Ovis aries: one gene and its partners. The protein of the gene in region 2 purifies or fractionates together with the protein of the main gene of each other region. This does not show direct contact. Links are inferred from orthologs where the notes say so. Each region holds a gene or a part of one and is shown on either strand. Other genes may lie near its edges.

Evidence for each region.
Region 1: the proteins of HDAC3 (region 2) and ATXN3 purify together in Homo sapiens (affinity purification with western blotting; 3 studies listed by BioGRID). This does not show direct contact. The link is inferred for Ovis aries from reciprocal best matches to the Homo sapiens genes HDAC3 and ATXN3.
Region 3: the proteins of HDAC3 (region 2) and RUNX1 purify together in Homo sapiens (affinity purification with western blotting; 3 studies listed by BioGRID). This does not show direct contact. The link is inferred for Ovis aries from reciprocal best matches to the Homo sapiens genes HDAC3 and RUNX1.
Region 4: the proteins of HDAC3 (region 2) and CCND1 purify together in Homo sapiens (affinity purification with western blotting; 5 studies listed by BioGRID and IntAct, with this or other methods). This does not show direct contact. The link is inferred for Ovis aries from reciprocal best matches to the Homo sapiens genes HDAC3 and CCND1.
Region 5: the proteins of HDAC3 (region 2) and XPO1 purify together in Homo sapiens (affinity purification with western blotting; 3 studies listed by BioGRID, with this or other methods). This does not show direct contact. The link is inferred for Ovis aries from reciprocal best matches to the Homo sapiens genes HDAC3 and XPO1.
Region 6: the proteins of HDAC3 (region 2) and STAT3 purify together in Homo sapiens (affinity purification with western blotting; 4 studies listed by BioGRID). This does not show direct contact. The link is inferred for Ovis aries from reciprocal best matches to the Homo sapiens genes HDAC3 and STAT3.
Region 7: the proteins of HDAC3 (region 2) and RELA purify together in Homo sapiens (affinity purification with western blotting; 3 studies listed by BioGRID and IntAct, with this or other methods). This does not show direct contact. The link is inferred for Ovis aries from reciprocal best matches to the Homo sapiens genes HDAC3 and RELA.

What each region holds. Positions count from the first base shown.
Region 1 is NC_056071.1:54,598,870-54,602,868, forward strand, and holds the start of ATXN3 (ataxin-3), read right to left. Parts: upstream 2,801-3,999; 5' UTR 2,771-2,800; coding exon 2,747-2,770; intron 1-2,746. UniProt on the Homo sapiens protein: Deubiquitinating enzyme involved in protein homeostasis maintenance, transcription, cytoskeleton regulation, myogenesis and degradation of misfolded chaperone substrates.
Region 2 is NC_056058.1:50,380,170-50,383,669, forward strand, and holds part of HDAC3 (histone deacetylase 3), read right to left. Parts: intron 2,456-3,500; coding exon 2,374-2,455; intron 2,244-2,373; coding exon 2,187-2,243; intron 2,062-2,186; coding exon 2,006-2,061; intron 1,613-2,005; coding exon 1,479-1,612; intron 1,001-1,478; coding exon 920-1,000; intron 540-919; coding exon 466-539; intron 310-465; coding exon 245-309; intron 1-244. UniProt on the Homo sapiens protein: Histone deacetylase that catalyzes the deacetylation of lysine residues on the N-terminal part of the core histones (H2A, H2B, H3 and H4), and some other non-histone substrates.
Region 3 is NC_056054.1:267,702,961-267,706,460, forward strand, and holds part of RUNX1 (runt-related transcription factor 1), read right to left. Parts: intron 873-3,500; coding exon 619-872; intron 1-618.
Region 4 is NC_056074.1:43,280,741-43,284,924, reverse strand, and holds the start of CCND1 (G1/S-specific cyclin-D1), read right to left. Parts: upstream 2,801-4,184; 5' UTR 2,641-2,800; coding exon 2,443-2,640; intron 857-2,442; coding exon 641-856; intron 135-640; coding exon 1-134. UniProt on the Homo sapiens protein: Regulatory component of the cyclin D1-CDK4 (DC) complex that phosphorylates and inhibits members of the retinoblastoma (RB) protein family including RB1 and regulates the cell-cycle during G(1)/S transition.
Region 5 is NC_056056.1:46,574,116-46,578,237, forward strand, and holds the start of XPO1 (exportin-1), read left to right. Parts: upstream 1-1,322; 5' UTR 1,323-2,103; intron 2,104-2,530; exon of another isoform or gene 2,531-2,588; intron 2,589-2,982; exon of another isoform or gene 2,983-3,502; intron 3,503-4,122. UniProt on the Homo sapiens protein: Mediates the nuclear export of cellular proteins (cargos) bearing a leucine-rich nuclear export signal (NES) and of RNAs.
Region 6 is NC_056064.1:42,178,038-42,181,537, forward strand, and holds part of STAT3 (signal transducer and activator of transcription 3), read right to left. Parts: intron 2,729-3,500; coding exon 2,578-2,728; intron 996-2,577; coding exon 851-995; intron 263-850; coding exon 164-262; intron 1-163. UniProt on the Homo sapiens protein: Signal transducer and transcription activator that mediates cellular responses to interleukins, KITLG/SCF, LEP and other growth factors. Once activated, recruits coactivators, such as NCOA1 or MED1, to the promoter region of the target gene.
Region 7 is NC_056074.1:40,273,169-40,276,237, forward strand, and holds the end of RELA (transcription factor p65), read right to left. Parts: intron 2,917-3,069; coding exon 2,836-2,916; intron 2,749-2,835; coding exon 2,674-2,748; intron 1,927-2,673; coding exon 1,292-1,926; 3' UTR 501-1,291; downstream 1-500. UniProt on the Homo sapiens protein: NF-kappa-B is a pleiotropic transcription factor present in almost all cell types and is the endpoint of a series of signal transduction events that are initiated by a vast array of stimuli related to many biological processes such as inflammation, immunity, differentiation, cell growth, tumorigenesis and apoptosis.

The DNA of each region.
Region 1 (3,999 bases), on a different chromosome or scaffold from region 2:
GGTGCCCCTACACGTGTTATCCTTAATAAAAAATTCAAATAACAACAAAAAGTCTCTATTAAGATAGGCTATTTCACTTCAAGAGCTACCTAATACAGTGACCAGATACTGCAAACAGCAGAGGTAGGATTCAAACCCAGGCAGAGTTTGTACTATTAACACTTCCTTAAGCCACTTATTTGGAACTTGGTGAATCTTAAACCTCAAATAGCCTGAAGATGGATAGGAAAGAGCAGTCTCTCTCTCACACACACACAACAAAAACATCATGAATGTCAAGGTCAACACTCAGCATCTTTCCAGTATTTTCACTAATCTTAAATATAATCCCAACAAGTTTGGTTATCATTCTCAGTTGTAAATGCATAAAAGTATCAATTCAGGTGGCAAAATAATAACCTCACCAAGAGCAGTCAGCAATAGAAGTGATAATGACAGAAAGCAGGTACCAGAACCAAAAAAAAAAAAAAAAAAATTGAAACAACAAAAAAAAAAAACCAGTACTAGGTGGCCATGTAGCGTTAAGGGTTTAAGTTAGGGACTGGCAAACTCTAGCCCGTGGGCCATATTCACTCTGCCCCAGTAGCTAAGAATGATTTTCACATTTTTAGATGCTTGGGAAAGCATACAGATACACACACACACACACACACACACACACACACACACACACGAATATGTGAGAATATAAATGACTTGCAAAGTCTAAAATATTTACAGAAAACCTGTTTATATAAACAGCACCATATCATCTTAGATGCTCAAGGAACACTCTTGATTCATTCAGATATTTACTGAACACCTACTATGTGCCAGATACTGGGGATATATCAATAAACAACTCTTGAGTTTACATTTCAACTTATTAAAGGGCACTTCAACTTATTAAAGGGTCACTTATTAAAGTGACAACTCTGAAAATGGGGAAATCAGAACTCCAAGAGGAAGTGGCTGCAAAATTCTCTGCAGGCAGACATCCCTACACGCAGATTCCTATCGGCTACAGTTGGTTCTCTGGCTCTCCAAATCCAGGACCTGGAGTTAAATACATGAGGAGCAGGAGAAGGGAGTGCTCCGGAAAATGTCATATTGATTCAAACATCCCCAAAATGGCCTCTGTAGAAGATGGGCAACAGGTCCGTGGTTATAGGTGCTTTCTTTACCTCTGAAACATCCCTGTAGAACTTGAGTCTTCATTTGCTAAGTACATGCAAGGTGATGAGGGTAAATGTGTTCTTGAAAAGTCTTTAAATCTATATTGAGGCTGATAATTCAGAGTGACTGCTCTAAGTTAAGTGGATTTTCATTAGGCTAGTGTCCAACTTCTTCTGATCCCATGATTAAGATCCCACTGCAATCTATCTAAACTAGGTACCAATGAATATTGTTTTTTTTTAAAAAAAAAAACATTGCATGGTCCTCAAAAAGTGATGTGGAAAAATTTAAAGTTTTCAATGTGAAACATCTGGTCCTACACCAAAGCTTCTGAAATTAGTCATAAAAATATGTCCACTCAATGTTCTTTTCATCCAATCTCCTTAGCCAAGCAACTAAATTTCTCTTGTCCAGGATTCATATATGTCAGCCAACTGAAAAGATTAGTGATAACCAAACACTGAGTCCTTCCTCATCCACCAAAAAAAAAAAAAAAAAAAAAAATCTGAAATGTTTTCTATAAAGAAAAGCATTCCATAACAATTTGTTTGAATTTATACTGCACTTCGTCTCTGATTGCTTTGATTGCTGTGTGTGTGCATTTTAAAATGGATATATAAGTATTTAACAAAACACAACCCCTTTGCTCCTACTAAATAACAGCCTCAGCAGCAACTCATTCCAAACATGAAACTATTATGAAATAAGATATGTGTTTAAGCCGACCTGAGGAAGGTTTCATTCACACTCAAATGAAATGGTAATTGTATGCGAAAAAAGACGAGTTTATCCACATGCCACAAACATTAATCTTCAAGTGCATAGTCATGGAAGAATCAAAGCACAATGGGCTAGGCAGACAACAACAACATTATTCCTGCCCATCCTTAATACCTAACAAGAAAGCTAGCCTCCTGATCCGGAAAGATGCCACTACCGAAAGAAACGAAACCCAAACTCCTCGTAACAGAAACTCTTGTGACGACTTCCCAGTGCAGAGGCGCACCGGGTTCCCTACTTCACTTCGCTGAAGTGTCACGCCCTCCATGGGGCGAGCCAAGGTCCCTGCCTCGAGAGGCTTACGGACTCAGTGCAGGACAAGGATCTAAGGGTATGGGAGATTCCAATATAGAACGAAGAAGCCCAGAGAAGGAAAAGTTAATTCTTCCAAGGACTAGGACTGGCAGAGTGGGGTGGAACTGGGAAGGATAGAGGAAGATGTCCGAGAGGTGACTAGCTAGGATGTGGGGAGACGGAGAGAGGGGGACAGGAGAAGAAATTTCACGGAAAGTGGAGGGGAAGCGCAGAAGCCATCTCCTCTCTCGTGCCCGGAGGCGCCCCCGGCCCGGCCCTTATCCCGTCCCGGCTTCCTAAACATCCCCGGACCGGGTCTCCTCCGGATCCTCCGGCACGGGCCTTGGGGTGCAATGGGGACAGCGGTGAAGCTCCCTTCCCGGGGAAGCTCCTCCCGCCCGGCGAGATCTGGATGGGGGCCTCTCGGGCCCCACCCAGCTCCCCGGGAGGCGGCGTTTCCGCACCCCACGCCCGCCACCGCGCCGTGGACAGCTCCCCACCGAACGTGGACACTCACTTTTTCGTGGAAGATGGACTCCATGTTTATTTGTCTGGAGCCAACGGCCCCCGCGCCGAACCACCCCCCTCCAGCTCCGCCCCCGGCCCCACCCCTCCGCCCCGCCCCGCCCCCCCGCGGTCTGCCCTGCCCACGTGCCTCACGCAGACCAATAATCCCCGAGAATGCGAGTCACGTGGAGAGACGAGGCGTGAACGCTGGGGCGGTAAATGAGGGGCACGTGACCTTCGTAGCGCATCCTAGCATTCCTGGGTTAGCCCCTCAACCTGAGGAGTGCTGCAGCGCCTCCTGCCGTATGGAGGATCATCTCCCCTTCCCACTCATTGTCATGGATTCTTAAGCTTCTAGGGATTTGTTTTGAATAAGGATCACTGAGGTTCTATGTTCTTTTTGTTTTCTACTTTTACTTTGTATTTGTATTGTCTTTTTTATATAATATTTGCTTACGGTAATTTAGTATCTTTCTCCTCCCCCACAGAAATTTTCATCGCATCCCTCAACACTGACCACGTGTGTGAAAATGAGAGTTATTATCTACATAGGACTTACTGGCAGGTTGGCACTCTTGGAAGTGCTTTGCATATGTTAAGAAATTCAATACAGCAAACTTTGATGTAGGCATTATTATCCCTATTTTACACACTGGGAAAGTGAGTCATGAAGATAGAACAGCACAACTAGAAAGTCCAGACACCTTGTTACTAGATGTAAGTGTTCTGGCCCGAAGTAGAAGCATAAATTGAGGGAGGTGAAAAGCCCGGTACAGTGGTGGAGGAAGCTGAAGGAGTAGGATAAGCGCAGGTCTTGTATCCTGAAACCAGGTTAAGGAGGGTGTGCTTTTTTTTTTTTTTTTTTTTTAATCTTCTTGGCACACTGGCATGGAGGACCTTAGTTCCCAGGTGAAGGATTGAACCCAAGTCGCCTACATTGGAAGCATGGAGTCTTAACCAACAGACTGCCAAGGAAGCCCTAGGAAGGTGTTCTTTTCACAGGCAATGGGGGGCTATGGAAAGATTTTACAAGGAGGTGAGACAGACGCAGATGTGTGGGAGTGATCAGTTTGGCGGAAGCAGAGATCCATTACTGTCAGAGGAATCCTGGGAGAGATGACAGTGTTTGGACTAGCATCATAACTTAGTGATGGAAGGAGACCATTCTGAGAGATAATTAGCAAGTGAGACTGAAAATATGAAAGTGTCCCACCCTTTGAGACCCATACACCATAGCCTGTCAGCCTCCTCTGTCCATGGAAT
Region 2 (3,500 bases):
CCCTGACTGCTTCCCCATCTCCTAGTACAATGCCTGGAACACAACAGGTGCTTAACAAAAACCTAATGTGAATGTTGCCAACTGGGGAACACTGCTCAAGATGACATTTCTGGTTCAAAGTACAACATGCAGCTACTTTTCAGTCCCAAAAGGAGGTGAGGGCTGTTTCCCAGCTACCCGTTCCATGTATTGAAGCCCAAGGCCACTTGAAAACCTGGAAGAGTGGAAGGAGAGCAGTTCTCACCCGTGTCCTCGAATGCTGAGGTTGAAGCAGCCCAATCGATCACAGCCCAGAGAGTCAGCTCCACACTGCAAAAATCAAAACCCCAGGTGGCTACAGTGAGAGAACTACTCAGAATGTCACCGATGTCCTTCACTTCCCTTCCCCCACCAGCCTAGGGATTCTCCTCTTTCCTGCTCTCTTCCCGTAAGCCTGAGTGCCTAAGGAAGCACGGACAGTATTACCTGGAGCACAATGCACGTGGGTTGGTAGAAGTCCACCACCTGGTTGATAACTGGCTGGAAAAGGTGCTTGTAACCTGGGAGAGGGCCAAAGATGGGCACCTGGCACCCCAAGGGGATGGGGAGACAGGGAACAAAAGGAAAAAGGGGGTTCAGAGAGCGTGTAGCCCAGGAAAGGGGCAACCCAAAGGGACCACTATTGGTTCCAAACTTCTAGGTGGGGAAGTTCATGAGACTTCTGGAGGGACTGATGGAAGCTAATGACCTTTTTCCCAGAAAAATGCACATACACACAATATGTTGCATACAATTTCCAGGGAGTTCATGGTCCCTCTGAAGGCCATTCATCCTGAAGGACACCTGGCCCAACGGTAGACAATACCAGGCAGAAGAGGTTAACTCAAGGAGGGAGAGAGAGAAGGAGCCTAGTGAGCAGGGAGAAGACTTTAGTACGTACTCTGGTCATCAATGCCGTCCCGCAGGGGTACGTTGAGGCAGTAGTAGCGGCCACTCTCTGCTCCAACTTCATACATGTCACCTGTGGGGGAGAGGGGTTGGGGGCGCCAGCTGCTTCAACCCCACCATGTACTCTGAGGGCCTCTCACTCCATCTGTGTATGTCCGCCACACACTCCCTCAAACCACTAAGTCTCTTGCAGCTTGCATTCATTCAACAGATACTCCTGGAGGGCCTACTATGAGCCAAGCTGTGAACTAGGTATGGGGATACAGCAGGAAAAAGAACTAACGAAATAAATGAAATCCCACCAAGCTCATATTCTTGGGAGGTAGGCATGATTAGGTGGGAGACAGTAAACAAAACAAAACCCCACAATAAATTCAAACAGCAACCAGTGCTTGAAAAGAAAAAAGCAGAGTGATGTGACAGGGTAACAGGGTGATCAGGGAAGGTTTCTCCAAGGAGGGGCCACCTGAATTGAGACCTGAGCTTGCGGAGGAGGCAGTCATGGTAAGAGCTGAGGAGTATGAAGGGGACAGGCATTCCTATTTCCATACCTGTGCCAGGGAAGAAGTAGTTTCCGTATTTGTGGAAAGATACTGTCATGACTCGGTCAGTGAGGTAGAAGGCTTCCTGAACCCCGTCGCCATGGTGGATGTCAATATCAATGTAGAGCACCCGAGGGTGGTACCTGGGGTGAAGGCAAAGCCAGCGTCTGAGGCAGAGGTGAACCCCAGGAGGAAAAGCCCCCAACCCACTCCTCCCAAACACAAGGCCAGAAATTATGAAGAGTCTACTTTGGCCCAAGTCACCTGAAACCTAATACCACCAGTTCCCTAAGGGCAACCCTGGGGCTCCAGCCTGGAGGCAGGGACAGGAGAGGGATGTGCAGAGAAGGCTGAAATGTGAGCAGGCAGCGGGGAATCTGCAGCAGAGCACAGGAAGAGGCAGCCTGAGAAAAGCATCAAGAACTTGGGAGAAGCTAGTGTGGGGCTGGAGGTCAGGGTCAGGGTCAGGGCCAGGGCAGTCTCAGACCTCAGCCAAGAGCCTCGCAAGTGGCCCCATCTCCTCCCGGGCTACTTACTTGAGCAGCTCCAGGATGCCAATCACAATGTCATTAACATAGCAGAAGCCAGAAGCCTATGGTAAGATAGTATAGTGGTATTACAAAGAGGAACAATTCCTCCACCCAGCCGCCCCCTGACTGCCATCCTGACCTCCTACCCTAGCAGAGCTGCTGTCTCCCCCATTACCTCCTCACTCACCTCAAACTTCTTGGCGTGGTGCAGACCACCAGCCCAGTTAATGGCAATATCACAGATCTGAAAGACAAACGCCCAACTCATAGTCCTTTTCCTGCCCACCCCCAAAGCTGGGAGCTCAGGATCATGGTTAAGGCCTTGGATTCAGGGACCCACAGGAAGGGGGAAACAGGACTTGGGGTACAGCTACCTTGTTGTTCAGCTGGGTTGCTCCTTGCAGAGATGCGCCTGTGTAACGGGAGCAGAATTCAAACAGCCCGGGAAACACGGGGCTGCAAGAAGAAGAGCAAGTTGGAGCCCTTTTTCCTCTGTCCACTTCCTTCCTTCACCTTTCTCCCCAGCCCAGAGCCCCGTAGTCTCCTTTCTTCAGTAACCCCGTCTGCCCCTCCTACATACATACCCAAGTTATCTGCAAATTTATTCAACAAATATTGTGGACGAAACCACATACTGAAACTTGTTCAAGGCACTGGATGGGAAGTAGAGAAGCGCAGTGACAGTAGTGCTAATTGCACCAAGAGCATTCACAGGGCCCAAGGCTGTGGCCTGAGGGTGGACTTTACATTCCCAGACCTATAAAGCGAACTCAAAACTAGCAGGAGCAATAACACAAAAAACAAGAAAGCTCCCAAGACAGCATGTGCCTGAACAACCCAACAAGCAGGGCAGTGTGTGCGGGACAGACCTCTGGGGCTGGTGTGGTCAAGAAAGCCTTCATGGCATGAAGCTTTGTGGTGGCTTGAAGGCTGAGAAGGCCCTGGAGAGGCTGACTGGAGAACAAAGGGTATTCTGAGAAGACACCCTGTGCAGCAGAGATGTGGGGATAAGGTTGGGAAGGTGCTCAATGCCAACCTAAGGAGTCGACCTCAATCCTCCAGCCGAGGCTGCTTCTATTGGAAGGCTCTTCAGGGAAACCAATTGGTGTAGTGTTTAAAAACCTAGCCTCTGGACCTGAATCCTGCCACTGCCACTGTTCAGGCTAAGTTATCAAAATCTCCTCAAATTTCAATGTATGTACTTAATGCTTACCATCATGAAAAGGACTATTACATCTCAGGGTTGGTGTAAGAATTAAGTGGATATACCAGTAATCCTCAGCACAGCAGAGTAAATTACTCAAGAAACTGTAGCTGTTGTAGGAAACTATAGGATCAACAGCCTCATTTCTTCAAAAGATAAATTCAAGGAATTCCCTGGCAATCTAATGGTTAGGACTCCATGTTTTCACTGCTGGGGGCCTGGGTTCAATCCCTGGTCAGGGAACTAAGATCCTTCAAGCCAAGGCATGGCAAAAATAAATAAATAAATTCAAGGGCG
Region 3 (3,500 bases), on a different chromosome or scaffold from region 2:
AGGAATAGGCTAGAAGCTCAAAACAAAACAACCACCAAAAACACCCCTCAGAAAACTTTTGCAAATTTAACAGAGTCCGCCGTGGACTTTGAACTTGCTAATTTCTACAGTGCAGTTAAACAGGGGGTGGACGTGGGGAAAAGCCATGAGAGTTTTCCTTGTCAAGTTTCTTTTCCTGGATCCAAAGGTATATCAGAGTATCTCGATTTTATTTCCTGATGCCTTCCTCAGAAGGGCTGGGTTCCGGCCGGGTTATAACTTTTCCTACTTTGGATCAAAGCGAAGGACCGATGCCCGGGGAGGAGGTCCCGCCGGCCCTCCGTGGACTTCTTTGTGGGGGGGGGCACCCTGAATTTTTTCAACCATCCCCCGGAGGCCGCGGCGGCCTACTGAAGCGGGACCCCTCCACCATCGCCCCCCCGCCCCCAGCCCAACCGAGGGTAGCCACGGCAACGCAGCATCCCCCGTGTGCGCAGCGCAGAGGGATGGACCACGGGCCTCCGCGCCGGCCCCTTTCTAGAACCCGGCCCCGCCTGCCTGGCCACGGCCCTCCCCGATCGCCCCGGCGATCGACCGGCCTCTGCCTGTCCTCCCGCCACCCGCTCCGGCCCGAGTTACCTTGAAAGCGATGGGCAGGGTCTTGTTGCAGCGCCAGTGCGTGGGCAGCACGGAGCAGAGGAAGTTGGGGCTGTCGGTGCGCACCAGCTCGCCCGGGTGGTCGGCCAGCACCTCCACCATGCTGCGGTCGCCGCTCCTCAGCTTGCCGGCTAGGGCGGCGCCGGCGTCCGGGGCGCCCAGCGGCAGCGCCTCGCTCATCTTGCCCGGGCTCAGCGCGGTGGAAGGCGGCGTGAAGCGGCGGCTCGTGCTGGCATCTACAGGGATACGCATCACAACAAGCCGATTGAGTTAGGACCCTGCAAACAGCTCCTAACAAACGGCGACAGGGGCGCGGATCTTCAGCAAGCAGCTCCCGGGAGACCAACATACAAGTTCAGGGACCTTTATTGCTGCAAGGTGGCTGGGGGAGAGGGGGAGACTAAGTTACGAACAGTCCAGGAAGGCTGAAAAAGTTCTAGTTCTGACAATCGGCCTCAGCTCAGACCCGGGCACCGACCGCTTAGTGCTTTGAAAAGTGGGCGACCAGAATCCAAAGTCAAGGGCCAAGGGACCCTATCTTCTGAGTTTTGCTTTGAGAGTTTGAAGGTTCAGTCTTTGGCTGTTACAGAAGTACCCGGAGGCAAAAATTCCCATACACTTCCTAAACTATTTATGCGGAGAGCAGAAGGACCAGCAAATATAGGATTTGGACGTTCCAGTAGTTAATTGCCTGTCAGTTCTTCTTTTTTTTCCCCCCAGGTGAGTTTTGTTTAAAGTCCAAACAACAGAAAATATACGAGTGTCTTCAAATACGGCGCCACTTTTTATTCATGCAAAACTGGCTTCGGTCCTCAAAAGCGAGAGCTGAGACTTCCAAAAGGTCCTGCTTCTAATGTATGTGCACATATATATAAACATATACATATGCTCTACTTCATAAAATATTTACAATACAATCTGTAGAGAAATTAAACACAACAGAAACCCATTAATGTTCGCTGCACGTTTTTGTTTTTTTTTTTTCTTCTCTAAGTAGCCTTGAGAATCAGCTTCAGTAGTTGAAGGGCTGGGCTAGAAGGACTTGTCATGTTTTCAATAAATTCTGGCAAAATGCTCAGTTCAGAAAATTCAAGCTTTATCAAAGAAAAAGCTGATCTTAAAAAAAAAAAATCCAAGTCGATGATATTCAGGGTTCAGCTCTCCACATTTGAGAACTCGGGTTTGGGGATGTTGGTTAAGTTTGTGGCTGATCCTGTGGTTTGGTGGGAGGTGAGCTGCAGCGGAGTCAGACGCACGCAGGCACGCACTCTTCGGGAGCCAGCCGCCGTCTACATCGACTCCGGTGAGTCAGCCCCGACTTGGGCAGTAGCGAGACGAGCTTCCTCCAACGTCGCCCCAGCGCCGGCCGGGTGAACTGCCCGGACGCGCCAATTTACCCACACACCGCGGAACCGCAGCAGGTGGAGCGGGCCCTGGCGAGAAAGGCTCCGCAGCGCAGATCGCAACAGACGGGGCGGCTCGAGTTACACAAGCACGCACACTCTGCCACGCACACGCGCCACTTCACCACTCGCCACGAAGCCCGGCGCACTCTCTCCCGCTGTTGTCAAAGGACACAACCGGAGAAAAGTTCACACCCAGGAAAGAAATGGAACCATCCAGCCAAGAAACCAGTTCATTCAAAAGTAGGAAAAGGCAAAAACAACAACAAAATCCTCCCCCACACACAATTCAAAATCGAAGTTCCAACGCGGTTCTATGAAAAACAGCAAAGACTGACTTTCTTCTGGCGTCCCCAGTATCCCCAGCAAGAGATGCCTGCCGGCTCAGGGCCGGGCAGCGTGGTGCCCTGGCTGGGTCCGGCCGCGGGGCGCTCGTCCCGCCTGCGCCCGCTGGCTCTATGAATGAGAGTGCCTGGAAATGAACGTGCTTTTACTGTAAGCCCGGCCCGAGGAATTCCATTCCCTCAGCTCGTTTGCATAGGGGCGGCTGCCGGCCAATCACAGGCCTTTCCGGTATCAGGCAGGGCGCGGCTCGGTGCCGCGGGCTCCTGGAATTGGCCCGCGCGCCCCCGCCGCCGCCGCGCGCTACTGTACGCGGCCAGGGTGGAGAGTCCACCGCCAGCCAGTGCGGAGGCCACGCCGCGCTCCCCGCATCCACATACCCGCACCCACACGCTCCTACATTCGCTCGAGACCGCCATTCCGGTGCGGACGGCGGCGGCTTTGCACACTCGTGGGCTTGCGCGGCCGGCAGTCAGTCAGCCCGCCCGCCCCGGGGGGCTGCCGTGAGCGGCCGCGCCAGGGGCGGCCGTGGTTCGGAGACCCAGGAGGTGGAGCAGAAGGCCGGTCGGCCTGGAGGGACTGGGGCCGCGCGCTGAGCCGCAAATGGTCCGGGATCAGAGTCTGTCGGAGAGAAGCATCCGCGAGCCATGGAGATAGATGAAGCGGCCGCCGCTAGGCTCCCGAGACCTGGGGGCCGGGGGGCCCCAAGGCCTCCACTTTCCCGGCATGGATGGGACTCGCCGCGAGGGGGCCGGGAAGGGCCGAGGGCCCAGCCCGGGGAGCCGCTCGGCGCCGGTTGGCAGCCGCGGCGAAGTGGCGCTGATTCCTTTACTGAGACCAGACGGTGGTCGGTCTCCACGACCTGCTTTTTGTGTTGAGTTTTCTTTCTGGGTTTGTTTTCTTGGTGTTTTACGCTGCGTCTTGACGCGGCGCGCCTCGCTCAGGTGGAGTTGAGCTTAGTGGCCAGCGAAGGAGTTCCGTAGTTCAGAAGCCGCCCCCCCCCCCCCCGCCCCAAGAACAAGCGACTGGAAAGAAACTGGAAAGCCTCCGGGCGGGGTTCCCCCGCGGGGCCCAGGTCGTTTGCGCCCCGCACCCACCTCCAGCTCCCCGGAAACGGCC
Region 4 (4,184 bases), on a different chromosome or scaffold from region 2:
TGCGCGTGTTTGCGGATGATCTGCTTGTTCTCCTCGGCCACCGGCATTTTGGAGAGGAAGTGCTCGATGAAGTCGTGCGGGGTCATGGCCGCCAGGTTCCACTTGAGTTTGTTCACCAGGACCAGCTCCATGTGCTGCGGACCCGGGGGAAACGCGTGTCGAGAGGCGCAGGCGCGGACCCCAGTGGAGCAGGGGTCGGAGAGAGGGGATGGGGGTCGCTGGAGGGTCCGGGAAGTGAGGGGGAGAGCGCGCGACCCCACATTCCGTGCAGGGACGGTGCTGCTCGCCAAGGGTCCTACCCTAAACTCAGCCCACCCTGGGCCGGCGGAGACCAGGGGCCCGCCCACACCTGGAACGCGGAGCCGGGTCAACCGCGCGGGCGCCGCCCCGCCGCCGCCGCTGGAGGGCGCGCGCCCCCCACTTTTCGCAACGCTGGGGGCGCAGAGGTGGTGGGAGTCAGAGGGAAAGCGAGGGGGGCGGCGGCGCGGCTGCGGGGCGGCGCGGGGCCCCGCCCGTGCGGCCGCCTTCCTTGGGGGCGAGGGTCTCTCGGCGGCCCGCCGGGGACCCCCGCGCCTCCCCCACCCCGGGGTCCCGCGGCTAACTGGGCGTTCAGGGGCCGTGGCGGGGGTCCCAGGGTTACCAGCAGCTCGTCGGGCCGGATGGAGTTGTCAGTGTAGACGCACAGCTTCTCGGCCGTCAGGGGGATGGTCTCCTTCATCTTCGAGGCCACGAACATGCAGGTGGCCCCCAGCAGCTGCAGGCGGCTCTTTTTCACGGGCTCCAGCGACAGGAAGCGGTCCAGGTAGTTCATGGCCAGCGGGAAGACCTCCTCCTCGCACTTCTGCTCCTCGCAGACCTGCCGGGGGGCACCGGGGGCCGTGACCGCCGCCGCCGCCGCCGCCGCCGGGAGCGCCCGGCCCCTCTGCGGAGACCTCGCGCCCCCCGACCCGGCTCGCGCCAGGGCGGCTGGACTGCGAGGTCTCTGAGCGCGCGGAGGGTCGGGGCAAGGGGCAGCAGAAGCCGCCGCCGCCGCGCCCCTCTTCCCCGGGAGTCCCCAATACTCACCCACCCCGAAACTGAAAGGGAAAGTCCCAGCTAGGCTGGCACAGTGGGGGCGGGAGCGGGCACAGCTGGGCGGCGTGTGTCGCGCGCGGGCTGTGGGTCCCAGGGACCCCGGCCCGCGTGGGTGCTTCGGGAGCCGCCAGACCTGGGGTCGGCAAAAAATGGGGCGCAGGGCCGCGGGGAGGGCCGCGGGGCTGGGCGCCGCGCTCGCAGCGCCTGCGAGACACAAAGGTGGCGTCCCAGGCCGCCGCGCCGCATTTCCCCAGACGTCATCTTTTCAAAAAATATTTAAAAATATAAAAAAATTAAGTGGGTACATAAAAATGCCCTGAAAATGACCCTCAGACTGTCCTTTACCCAGGCCGGGAGTCGGGAGCTCGTTGCGGGCTCAGGGGAGAGCCCCAGGAATTCAAACTCGGGGGCCCCCCTTCCCCCTGGGCGCGGGCGCCGTTTCCTTCTCGCAAGGGCACCACGCCGCACTTTCAAAAATTATTTTAAAATACTTGCGGTGCCCCGGGGAGCCCTCTGAAGGCCTGAAAACGTGCCCCTGGCCCCCAGCTCGCTCCAGACAGGTCCCCCAAGCTGAGATCCCGGCAGATGAGGGTCCATTCCTAGCGTCTTGGGGGCCACGCGACCTTGCAGCCCGGCGTGCTCTCTGGCCCAAGCTGGCCTTGCGGGACGCCCCGGGACCCACTGCTTGAACAAAGGGGCCCCCTTTCCCGAGAGGGGTCCCCCCACAACTACCCGAGCTCTGTCCCCGCGCCCCTCCCGCTGGGTCCCGGTGGCGGCGCGGCCCCTCGCGGCGGCCCCAAGCGCCTGGCCGGCCGCTCCCCGCCCCCACCCTGCCCCCAATTATTAATAAACACTTTTGCTTTGCAATAAAAGAACAAAGATGGCGCATAATACTGGCACGAGCGGCCCTTGCATACGTGTCCATGGATATTAATTTAAAAATCAAATCTATGCCCCCTCCCCCTGGAGCTGGCGGCTCAGCAGCCGCGCGGCCGCAAGAGGAGGCGCAGCGGGGCTGCGCGGTGGAGGTCCCGGCGGGGGCCACAAAGGACGCCCAGCCTGCGGGCCCGCACCCTGAAGCCAACTGGGGTGCCCGGGCAGTGGCTTTCCCCTAGGGTACCCCTCCTCGACCGCCGCCGCCCCCACCCACCCACGAAAGGAATTATCTAATGACCCCACCCCCACTCCCTCCTTGTTCAAAAAAATACCCTGAATATCTATATATTTTGGAACTACGATTCCTAGCAACACTCTGGCAAACTTCAAAGTTTGGGTGGGAGAGAAGGGAGGGTGATGAGTGGCAAAGAAAAGTGGGTTTGCGCAACAAGTCGCAGGAAAGTGCTAAGAGAGCCGCCCGGAGCCCCGCACCTCCAGCATCCAGGTGGCCACGATCTTCCGCATGGACGGCAGGATCTCCTTCTGCACACACTTGAAGTAGGACACCGAGGGCGCGCAGGTCTCCTCCGCCTTGAGCATGGCCCGCAGCACTCGGTCGTTGAGGAGGTTGGCATCGGGGTACGCCCGGCGAATGGTTTCCATCTCGCAGCACAGGAGCTGGTGTGCCATGGTTGGGGGCTCGGCTAGGTGGCCGGGGGGCGGCGATGGGTCCGGGGCTGGGTCGGCTCTCGACTCGGGCTCCTGCTGCCCCGCGCTCCCTCGAGCTCGTCTGCCCCTCGCCGGAGCGCGCGGACGCTGCTGCTCGCTGCTACTGCGCCGACAGCCCTCTGGAGGCTCTAGGACTTTGCAACTTCCAACAAAACTCCCCTGTAGTCCGTGTGACGTTACTGTTGTTAAGCAGAGATCAAAGCCGGGCAGAGAATGGGAGCGGGAAGGAGGGGGGCCGGGCGCAGGGGGAGGGGGCGCGGGCGCCGAGCGTCGGGGAGCGGCGAGGGGCAGAGCCCAAAAGCCATCCCGGAGGCGCCGCGCCTGCACCGCGCGGTGTTGCCCCCGAAGCCGGGTTTTCATAGAAATGCAAACCGTCCTAAGGCTGCCTTTCTCCCCGCCGAGGAAGAGGGGTGCAGGAGCGGGGGTTGGGGGGGGGGTCTGTCCTCCCCGAGCGGGTCCCGCAGGATTTGGGGGGTTGGGTGACGGTGGCTCTGCAGAGGGGGACAACTAGGAGGGCGGGCAGGCCACACGCAGCTGGGGGAGACCGTGTGGAGGGGGACGCTGGGGTTCGGTGACACTCTGAGCCGGGAGAATGGGCGCATTTCCGAGAACGCCACGAGGGCACCCACGGGCGGAGGCAGCCAAGGGATCTTAGCGTCTACGTCTTCTTTCATTTTCATTAACACGTGTAAATTTCAGGAACCATTTACCATTCAGGGACTCAGGGCAGAGCCGACAACCCCGGTGGAGGTTTCATTCCCGCACCGAGGGGGGTCTGTGCAAATGCCGGAGGGGTAACCCCCAAAGTTAAAGGGCTTTCAGCCTAACACGCGCTCGCTCAAAAAATAAAATAAAATAAATGCCCGAAAATTCCAGCAGCAGCCCAAGATGGTGGCCAGCATTTCCTTCGCCCTGTCCTCTTCGCCTGGGGGATCTGCGCACTGTCTTCCTACCTTAGCTAGTCCATTCTTGCGGGGGGCCCCCAACACTTCCCCCCCGCCCCCGCCCTGTGCCGGCAATTTAACAGCTAGAAAAACACTCTGAAAGGAAGGCTGCAAAACAGTGGTCTCTGTCCTGTCTCGTTTTTTTAATTAAAAATTAAGCTAAATCGCTGGAAATATTGGTCGCCTCCCCGCCTGGGAGAAGACCACCGGAAACTTCCTAATTGGCTTTGTTGGGGGTGTGGACCTCTCTTCACCTTTAGAATTTGCCCGGGGGCTGCATTCGAGAGCCTGAGGCGGTTGGCGGGGGTCTGGCAACAATCAGAACAATTACAAGTTAAAGAAATAGGTGTATTGATCTGATGATTTTAAACAAAACCTATATATATTCGTGGCTATACGCGAGTCCCCAATATTAATCGCAAACTTATAAGAATATAAAAGAATATAGTTTCAGAGACTGAAAAGATTCAGTCTCTTTGGTGCTTATTTTTAAAATAAAAGGACATCTTACCCAGTCTTAACATTTTTTTAAAGTTTTTACTCTACCTGCCCCAAATTAAG
Region 5 (4,122 bases), on a different chromosome or scaffold from region 2:
TTAGGCAATGAATAAAAATTTTAGGTCTGAAAGGAATCCAGTATCATTTTGGTACATCTAGTGGAAGGCGAGGGAATTGTTTCAGTCCACTGTGAGAATTTGGTGAAGAAAATTGTGATTTAATAAACCATTTATCAACCTCTTGGTGGCACAATGGGCCTACTAAAATTTGGTGGGCTGCTTGCTATTTCTTCAGCAAAGAACAATCAGTAAAGCACTTGATGGGCACTTGGGGACAAGAGAGGCAACGATGTGAAGGGCCACGTGCATGTGACATTCATAGAAAATACTATTTGGTGATGATGAAGTACGCAAAGGACAGTTATGCTGAAAGAAAAAACCTAGGGTAGGGGAAGATCAAGGGTGGTTGGCATGGAAGCTTACCCAGCAAAAACACGCGATGTTAAGCCAATTACAGGGATTATATAGTGTCTTAATTTTTAGGAAGGATTCCTTGTTGAAGAGGCCACATTCAACCTGGGGAGACACCGAGGTAAATTTGAAAAAGACTTGACCACGAACTATTTAGGTACCTTTTCTACATCTGAGAAAATTACGAGCCGCACCTTCTCAACATTCTGGTCCCCAAACCAGGCATTTAAAATGGATTAGAGAGGTCTGGGGCCTACAGTTGGCCTCCACTGAGGTCTTTTCGCTCTCTTTTTCCACCCCACCCTTTCCCGAAGAAAAACACAGCTGGGTGTGCCCTCTCTTTTAGGAGCGCAGCCCCCATCTGAGGGGGCGGGTCCGGATCCCGGCGGGCTCAGGCCCCGCAGGTTGGCGGGACCCGGCGGGGGCGGGCCAGCGTGGGTCTGAAAGAAGCGGAGAGAATGTTGGCCGGCGCGCGCCGCGCTCAAACTCGCGCCACCACTAGCTCACGAGCTGCGCCCCACTCCCTCCGTCACCAAAGGCGCCCAGCCAATGAGCGGGCCGGAAAGGCCGGGCCTGCGGGCTAAGCAATGGGAGGGGGAGCGACGGGAGGGGGCGGGAAGTCGAGGGCGGGCCACACTTGATTGACAGCTCTCTGGAACCAATCCTCTGCACGGCTTCTCTTCGCTCTCCTCTCTGCTCGGCTCAACTCTTCGTCCCACCTCTTTCTCCTCCACCCCGCTCCTCGTTCCTTTGCGACCCGCCCCACTTCCCCTCCCCCACTCTGCGGGCAAATCGCTGCTGGAAAGAGGCGGGGGCCTAAGCAGCGGGCTTGTGTGGCGCCTTGAAGTGGGATTGACAGGCGGCCTGACCAATAGAAGGTACGCTGATGGCGCGGCTGTGGCTGGAACCGGCCAATGGGCGAGCGGGCTGGGGGCGGAGGCCCAGGTTCCAAACGCTCCGCGGCGCCATGGGCTGAAAACTCAACCGAGATGGAATCTCCCAGTCTGAACCGGTTTCAACCGGTTCCGAGTTTGAGGCACTAGGAGGAGGGGGAGAAGCGGCTGCAGCGGCCGCGGCAGGAGCAGCGGGAGCTACAGCATCAGCAAGAGCAACAGTAGCTACAGCCCGGGCGGCGGTGCCTGTTCCAGTCTTTGCTGCTGCAGTCCGTGCAACCACCCAGAGGGGGAGGGGGGAACCACCAGTCGCTGAGGAGCAGGAGAAGGGGGGAAAGTTTAGGCGAGCCTGGGTGGGGGGGGCCAGCGCCGGAGCCGCGTGAGAGAGGGAGCCGTATTTTGGTAGGGGGAAATCGGACTGCAACTGGCAGCAGAGCGTCCCCCGGCCGTGTGGACTCTACAGCCCCTACTCCTGCCGCTCCTGCTGCCGCCTGTGGCTGGAGGGTCCCCCTGGGGCTGAATCTTTGGGACTTGACCCCGTTCCCCTCCCCCTTCTCTCACTCCCCAGCCAGGCGGGAGCATTTATCCACAGATTAATTCCCTTTTTTAGGGGGGGGGCGGGTGAGTGTGCGTGTCGGCGGGAGGTGTCCCCGAAATAGTAAATATTGTTGAGCTTTTTTTTTTTTTTTTGCCCTTATCCTCTTCGTTTGTAAATTTCTTTTTTAAGGTGGGAAAACTGTGAAACCCACCTTGATTTTCCTCCCCTCTCCCCCCTCCCCGTCCTCCCTTGCCCTAATACCCCAACAAGGAAGGAAGAAGCAGTTGGTTCAATCTCTGGGTAAGTCGACTGTGTCTTCGGGGCCGAGGGTCGGGCGGCGGCGCGGCTGGGCGGGAGGAGGCTGGCGTGGGGCGCGGCGGCGGCGGCCGCGGGAGGCGAACCGGGGAGGCGGCGGGGGGCCCACAGCAGAGCTTGCGATTGAATGGAGCCGCTTCTGCTGCTGCTGGGGGATGGAGGCGGGGAGGCGGCCGCGGAAGGGGAGCGCTGGCTGGGTCACTCGTGTGTACGGGGAACGGTGGCGGAAGGCAAGGAGCGAAATAGTGAAGTCGGGCCCTGCGCGGGGGTGGAAGGGCCTCTCTCAGCCCGGTGGGCTGGGGAGAACTTGGGGAGATTTTAGGAACATTTCTGTAAATTATTAGGAGTGGAAGTTTCCAGAAATATTTAGTGCAGCAGCATTGAAACGTCCGCCTGCATCACGTGGCCCTTCGGTGGAGAGCTTGGGATCGCGGGAGGGAGGGGCTGTGGAGTCCTTGCTCCTCCTGCAGGTAAACTCAGAATCTCTTGATTTTTTAAGAGTAGAAATAGAAGCAGGAAAGGTTAGTTGCTTTTTCAGGGATCTGCAGATGAGGTTCCGTGCTATAGTTTGTTTCGGGGGACTTGGGTGAGTTAAAAGTGATCAACTCATTTACTGCTGGCATTGTACAGTAGGTGATACCCTGATTCTCCTTTATTCCGATGCCTGAGTTTGGGGTGGGCGGGAGGAAATGGTGTGCTGGAGGAAGTATTAAAAGATTTGCCCGACGCGGACCTCCTCTGATCACGCAGAGGCCATGCTGCATAGAGAATGGGGCGGTGAACTTCAGGCGCCTGGTCTAAATGCCTCCTCCCGAGTATGGGCGGGGTGAGAGCGTGCTCCAGTCTGCTATAGTTAGAAGTGCTGCACTTCGCTTCGGGTGGGAAGAGAGGGGGAGGGCGGGCCTTAGTGAGGTGTGTTTCTACTGAATGAAGCAGGCAGTTGCTCACACACCTAAAGTAGCAGTTTCTCCTTGCAGAGACTTGCTTTTTTGGCCTACTATGTAGTTATCATAAAGCAGCGGTTATGATTTTCTGGTTTTGGGATGGGAACCCGCAGTGTGTAGCTGCCTGCCTCTTCAGTTTGAAGTGGCAGTGGAGGTATTTTGGTCGTCACTTGTGGAGTCACCACATGGGTGGTTAATACTTTATATTTACTATACTGTGAGTGGAATTTAGGATTGGATGTCTCAAGAAGAAAAGGCTTTTGTGGTCTCTCTTGCCTCTCCCTCTATGGTTTTTTGCTATCTGCCTGATTGTACATCTTAAGCGTGTGGGACACTGCTGTTAGTGGAAAGAATGTTTTGGAAGCTATTTGATTTGGGAGACTAAATGTGCTTGGCATTGACCAGAAAGCCGCCATTTCTGTACTACAGTTAAAGAATAGGTAGGTCATTTCGAAGATAGTAGCTAGTTTTAAGGGTGGCATGCCCTGCTGTATTTAACACAAGCTTCTATTCTGAACCTGATCTTTTCACAGGAATTTGTTTCGAAGGAATTTGTAAGGACAGTGTACTTGAAAACTGTTTGAGTCACTTTTTTTTTTGGTTTTGGCTATTAATTTTTAAGATCTTATTTTTAAAATTGTATGGCACTCGAATGGGGGGAATTTACATTTGACATTTGTGCAGTATATATATTTTTATTAGTATTTAGATCAAATATTGTGTGTTCAATATTTTGTATTTGAAATACATTTAATAACTACTGTAGAAAATTTTGAAATCTCACCACTGTCAATAGTGGATGGAAAGACAAGTCTTAAATTCATAATTCCTCAACTTTTACATTATATCTAACCTAACTGATCCTTCAGACTTTGTTGTAGTTGATATCATTAAAACATGAGTTAAAAATTGAAATTGCTGCCGTTAAGAACGTTTTTAAACTGTTGTAAAATACCTAAGAAATAAGCCTTTTTCCTAACAAGCTAGTTTGTTCAGATCCAGTGTAATCCGGTTAGCCACCCTATTTCCTGGTCTTGGAAGGTTAAAAAGAGGGGGAGAA
Region 6 (3,500 bases), on a different chromosome or scaffold from region 2:
AAGTCTTCCTTAAAAAGGAGAATGCATTTTATATGCTGAGAAAGTTATTTTTACTGTACACAACCCCCAAACACCCACGATTATGGAGGTCAAAAGGCAAGGACATCTTCGTACACGTGAAGGAAGCACATATTAACAGCGCTTGCTTCTTCCCAGGCCTCACCTGGGCTGCAGTGGCTGCAGTTTGGAGGAGGCGGGACTCTTCCCACAGGCAACGGGCCACAATTCGGGCAATCTCCATTGGCTTCTCAAGGTATCTGCTCTGTAAGTGGGGAGACAAAGAGAATGAAAATCAGCAGCAGCTCAGGAGATGTGGACCGAACTTTGCTAACTTAAAGCTAACTTCCTCATAAACTAGGGAAAGTGTTACATTTACTACATGGAACCACAGAGCATCAGAGCCTGGCTACAGTCAGTAGGAGAAGTGACGGAGAAGAAAGGCAATCACGATGAGCAGTACTGTAGTGAGAGTAGGCTTGGTTGTCTGTCTTTGGACAGACAGACTTTGGACAGTGAGTTATCCTGGTCTTACAGGGGGGTGACTTTGTCAAGGAGTATCCAACTACGGTGTCCAAGCCTTTGACACTGAAAAGTAAGAGCCATTTTCCTAGTCATCTGAACTTGTTACAATCATGTCATTCGCATACTAACATAATATAATTAACATAAAAATCACATTATTATTTCAATGAACCAACCAAGTAAACTTCAAGCAATAATACTGAAAGGGCTGGTAACTTCTCCTTGGATTTAAAGTACAAGATAGGTTATTAATTAACCAAGTGAGAAACAAACATTTTCAGGAAAGAAAGCTAAAACCCTTCTCTGCAGGTTCAGTTTCTCCTCACACCTGAAGGAACTGCTTGATTCTTCGCAAATTGTGCTGATAGAGAACATTGGACTCTTGCAGGAAGCGGCTATACTGTTGGTCAATTTCTCCCAAGAGATTATGAAACACCAAAGTCGCATGTGATTCTTTGCTGGCCGCATATGCCCTAGAAAAAGGAAGATAAAGACAAAGAATGATTCTGAAACCTACACACATACACACGCTCACACGCACAGGCATGCACTCGAAATCACCATCAAGGAGGGAAAAACAAGGCAAACCTGAAGCTTTAACCCACTCACCATTTTAGATACATCTTACTCAGCAATCATAAAAGTCACTGATTTTAAAATTACCAGCAATTATTTTGGATACTATTAAGCGACTGTCATAGTTCTATATTTATCAAATTTTGAATGGTCAGATATGCTGTTTTCCTTTAAATTCTCAGTCAACTCTATGGTCAGATTTTCAGTAGCAAATAACCAATCCCAGGTTAGGATGGCCTATTTCCAACATCTCTGAATTACCTCCCTGGCCCCTCATCAAATTCTGGAAAAGCTAGGTCATGGGCCTGAATTAAACCAAAATTAAAAGGTGGATCTGAATACATTAAAGTGAAGGAAAGAGTTGCTGGGATTCTGTACCATTATCTCCTCTATGACCAAGTGTTAGTCTTTCAGTTGTGTCCAACTCTTGCGATCCCACGGACTGTAGCCTGCCAGGCTCCTCTGTCCATGGAATTCTCCAGGCGAGAATACTAAAGTGGGTTGCCATTTCCCTCTCCAGGTGATCTTCCTGACCCAGGGATATGAACCCGGGTCTCCTGCATTGCAGGCGATTTCTTTACCATCTAAGCCACCAGGGAACCCCTATCTCCTCTATGACTGAGTCTGTTTCTCTAACTCTGTATCTCTTTTCTTTAATGAAAGAGGAATCAGAAGTACAAACCCAAACCTTTTTTTACCCATGACAAAATTCTCATTCAGATTAAAAAGAAATTATCTGTAGCATGTCCCTGAAGCATCAGAACATGCAGAGAATCTCATCAAGCAAATGAAATTAAAATGGGCTTCCCTGGTGGCTCAGATGGTAGAGAATCTGCCTGGAACGCGGGAGGCTTGAGTTCAACCCCTGGGTCGGGAAGATCCCCTGGAGAAGGGAATGGCAACCCACTCCAGTATTCTTGCCTGGAGAATTCCATGGACAGAGGAGCCTGGCAGGCTACAGCCCATGTGGTCACAAAGTCAGACACGACTGAACCAGTAACAGGTTTTACTTTCAATTTCAAATCTTGCGAAGAACTGACTCATTTGAAAAGACCCTGATGCTGGGAAAGATTGAAGGCAGGAGGAGAAGGGGACAACAGAGGATGAGATGGTTGGATGGCATCACCGACTCAGTAGACATGAGTTTGAGTAAACTCCGGGAGTTGGTGATGGACAGGGAGGCCTGGGGTGGTATAGTCCATGGGGTCACAAAGAGTTGGACATGACTGAGCAACTGAACTGAACCATCAAGCAGGATGTTTCAGCGTGCCAAAAGACAGCTTTCCAGATGCCTTTCTAATGTAAAAATGCTTTTCAGGACTAAAATGACCTCTTTACTTTCCAATCTCTTTTGTCCCGTCACCTGCAACTATAAGCTTTAAGATGAAATAGTTAGCAAAGAGTTAAGTTAGAGCAGATCATGTCTCTTGACTCAAACTAAAGCCTAGCAATTTGGGGAGTTTCTTGAGAAGGACTTACCAATCTTGACTCTCGATCCAAGGGGCCAGAAACTGCCGCAGCTCCATGGGGAAGCTGTCACTGTACAGCTGATGGAGCTGCTCCAAGTACCGTGTGTCCAGCTGCTGGAGCTGATTCCATTGGGCCATTCTGCTGGAATCAGGGGTCACAACTGCAAACCAAAGGTTCATATGGTCACTACCAGCCCCAGTAAGAGGAAATGATCTATCCAACACAGGGATCAGGTCTGTGATTAGGGATAAAAGGTGTGTGGAAAGGCTCTCACTTGCTCCACCCACTTTAGAACAATACATATGGATTCAAATCTCTATCCCTGGGGCCACATCACAGCTTCTTTCTTCTAAACCAAGATGACAGTGTGGGCATGGTGCCAAGTTCTAGAATCCATTATCTCCTAGAGGTATGTGAAATTGAGAAACTACTTCACTTCCAGATTTCACTTCTTCTTATTACACAGACATTATAATTCCCAGCTCTCTGGGCTACTGAAATAATATTTCTAGAGCATTCAGCTCAGTGCTCAGCACACAATAGATGCTCAAAAGATATGAGTTCCTTTCTTTCCAGTTGGCATTCCTTTTAGGTGGACTGGGAGATATGAATACCGTAAACCTGAACTAAGACCAAAACGTGGGATGTGGGTGTTCAGGGAGGACAAAGAGCTAATTCCAAGGCTACAGATTTAGAAACTACCACACTGTTAATCGGTTATACTCCAATATAAAATAAAAAGTTAAAAAGGACTACAGATTTAAACCTACAGCAAGGATCTGCCTGGGGTTCTCCCATTCAAAAAAGAGTAATTATGTTTTTAAAATTTCTCAGTCTGGGGTGAGAAAGAAGAGAAGCTAAAGAAAAGGCATTCGAGCTGTCCCCAGGTTCATGAATACCCCAGAGAAATGTTCAGGAAGGAGAATGCAAGC
Region 7 (3,069 bases), on a different chromosome or scaffold from region 2:
GGCGGCTTCGGATTTAAGATTTCCTTGGTCCTCCCAGGGCAGGGTATTAAAGGACAGACCTTTACCTGGCACCTCCCTTCCCAACCACTTAAGAGATGAAACCCAAACCTCTTAGCCGAGCCTCTTCATCTTTTAGACTGGCCCATAGAATCTTTCCAACATTGTCTCCTATCCCGCTTACCTATAAATGCAGGCTAGCCCCTCTGCTGATGTATAGACCTGAAGCTAAGCTAGCGTGGCCTTTGTGAAGCCCTTCCTGAAAATGTTCCATCCCCACGACTCCTGGGTCCAACCGGGCTCTCGCTAGGCTGACTTCCCCTCGCCCCCTATAGCCGCCTGCTTTCATTCACTGGCTGGTAGCGAGTGTCCAGGGATGTCCGTGGACTGCAAGCTCCCCAGTGGCAATGTATTCCTCCAGCAAATGTGTGCCTCCAACTCTGTATCACCAACATCCAGCCTGAAATGACCAGCAAAGAGTGTGCTCAAAAAAGACAAATCTCTAGCCAGCATTGTAACAAATTTATTAGTTCAGAGTAGAAAAAGCAATAGTCTATAAATGCTTTGATTCTTCAGTAAAAACTGAGCCTTTTGACTGGAGAGCAGCCAGCCTGCTCTCCCCGACTCTGAACAGCTCGTCCTACCATTAAGGCACTTGAGAAAAGGAGGAACAGAGCAGTCTCAAAGAGAACCTCCCTGGATCTTGGAGAAGGCCAATACTGTCCCGCCAGTCCCCTTCAACCACAGCCCAGCAAGGGAAGAGCTGGCAGAGACCTCCACGGGTGGGGAAAGCCAGGCCCTCAAAGGCTGGTAGATAGGCACAAAGAATGCCGCACCAGAGAGGGGCGCATAACAGGGGCATTATTTTGCCTCAAGGTATAAATGAATCTATGATTTGAGGAAGACACTTGTAATAAGGCTTTGTGGCCTCCAAGGCCATAGCTCCAGCCTGCCCATCTCTCTAGGAGAGTACTACAAGCTGGAGGGTGGGGTTGGAGGACCCCAGAATTTTCTGTAGAGCCTGGAGCTGAACATCAGGATAAGGGATAGAAGAGTCTGAGTCTTCCCAGCTCTCCCCTTTCCAGAGAAGTTAATGCTTCTGCTTAAGCACCTCCAAAAAGAGAGAGATACTGCCAATAAAAGAATAAAATGCACCCCCCCTCCCCAGGAAGACATCACCCAAAGAAGCTGGGGGCAACTGGAGCACACCCTCCCAGAATCCGTAAGTGCGTGCTTTGGGAGGGCTTCAATCCCTTGCTAACCCACTGCTCTGGGCAGGGCGGGTATCACCCCTTTAGGAGCTGATCTGACTCAGAAAGGCTGAGAAGTCCACGTCCGCGATGGAGGAGAAGTCTTCATCCCCCGAGAGGAGGCCATTGGTGAGCCCAGGGGGCCCCAGGGGAGTGGGAGCTGGGTCAGGGGGCCTCTGGGACCCTGTCACCAAGCGAGTTATAGCCTCAGGGTACTCCATCAGCATGGGCTCAGCTGTGTGGGGGCCCATGGATACACCCTGGTTCAACAACTGCTGAAACTCAGAGTTGTCGACAGATGCCAGGTCTGTGAACACAGCAGGGTCAGTGTTGTTGCCAAGCAGAGCCCCCAGGTCTTCATCGGCATCAAACTGCAGCTGCAGCAGGGCCTCTGTCAGTGTCCCTTCCCCGGTCTGGTTGGTCTTGGGGGCAGGCGGGGTCACAGCCTGAGCCAGGCCTGGGGCTAGGGCCTGGGCCAGGGTTGATGCCATGCCTGGGGCTGGAGCTGGGGCTGGGGCTGGGACCGGGGCCAGGACTGGGGTCTGGGTCAGGACCGGGGTGGGGGCTGGTGCCAAGGCCGAGGTTTGGCTTGGGATCTGCCCAGAAGGAAAGACCATGGGGGAAAACTCCTCAAAGTTGATGGTGCTGAGAGATGGCGTAAAGGAATAGGGCTGGGGAGCTGGAGAAGAGAAACAGAGAGGCAGGGGTCAGAGAAAGCCTCGGAGGCACCCCCTCCCCCCAGCTTCTGCACCCCAGCTGCTGCCTCGAGTGCTGAGGCTCACCCCTTCCCTGTGGCATCACCGCTGGCACCCTACTCCCTCCTCTTACCCAATCTGGCCTCCCCTGTAGGGCCCAGTTCCAGGCTCCCCTCCGTGGAGCCCTGCCTGTCTACCCCGGCCCACAAAGCTCTCACAGCCTTTAGAGGAAAGGATGCTTTCAGAGCGGGCACAACCTTGTGCCCGAGCAGCCGGCAGGGAGCAGCGCCTCTTCCTCCTTCTCTGAGACACACAGCAGCACAAACATTACAGGTTACTGTTTTGCTACTGTTTTGCCCCACTTCAATGGAGAACTAAGAGCAGAGACTGCATTTTTGAAACTTCTGCATCTCAAGGCATCCAATGTGGGTTTAACTGACACCACATGGGTTCTCATCCCCAGGGGGGTGCTGGTTCCTGGGACACACTTCCAAAGCCTCTGATTCCCCATGTCTGTAAGGGGCCCGGGAATCGGCATCTTCACTGCTTCCCAGCTGGCTCTGATTTTAGGCCACGAAGGCTCAGGCCCTGAGAAACAGGAGCCCAACAGCGAGCAGGTTTCAGACACCTGCTGGTGAGACTGCTCGACTCTCTCCAAGAGGTTTGGAAACCATGGATCGAACAGATTTGAGCCTACAGTTCCAGTGTGACGACCTTAAGGAAATCCTCACCTGGCTTGGGGATGGAGGCTGAGCCGCGGTTAGGCACAGCGATGCGCCGGGTTGGAGGCCGGGGGTCGGTGGGTCCTGTGGGGTGAAGGCTGGGTCAGTTCTTGGTGTCTAGGGTCCCCTCCCTGCCCACTGCTCTCTGATTCTCCCGCCGCCCCCTCTTACCATTGAAAGGGCTCTTTTTCATGATGCTCTTAAAGGTCTCGTATGTCCTTTTGCGCTTCTCCTCAATCCGGTGACGATCATCTGGGAAAGTAATGGAGGGAAGTGGGTCCTGCTTGTACCAGTGGACCCCCAAAGTTCCCAAAGGACTCTCAGGAGGTAGGCGAGAAGACAAACCTTTTTCTAAGAACCTTTCTCTAAACCTCACCCAGTGAGAACAGCTGCACGACTCTGTGA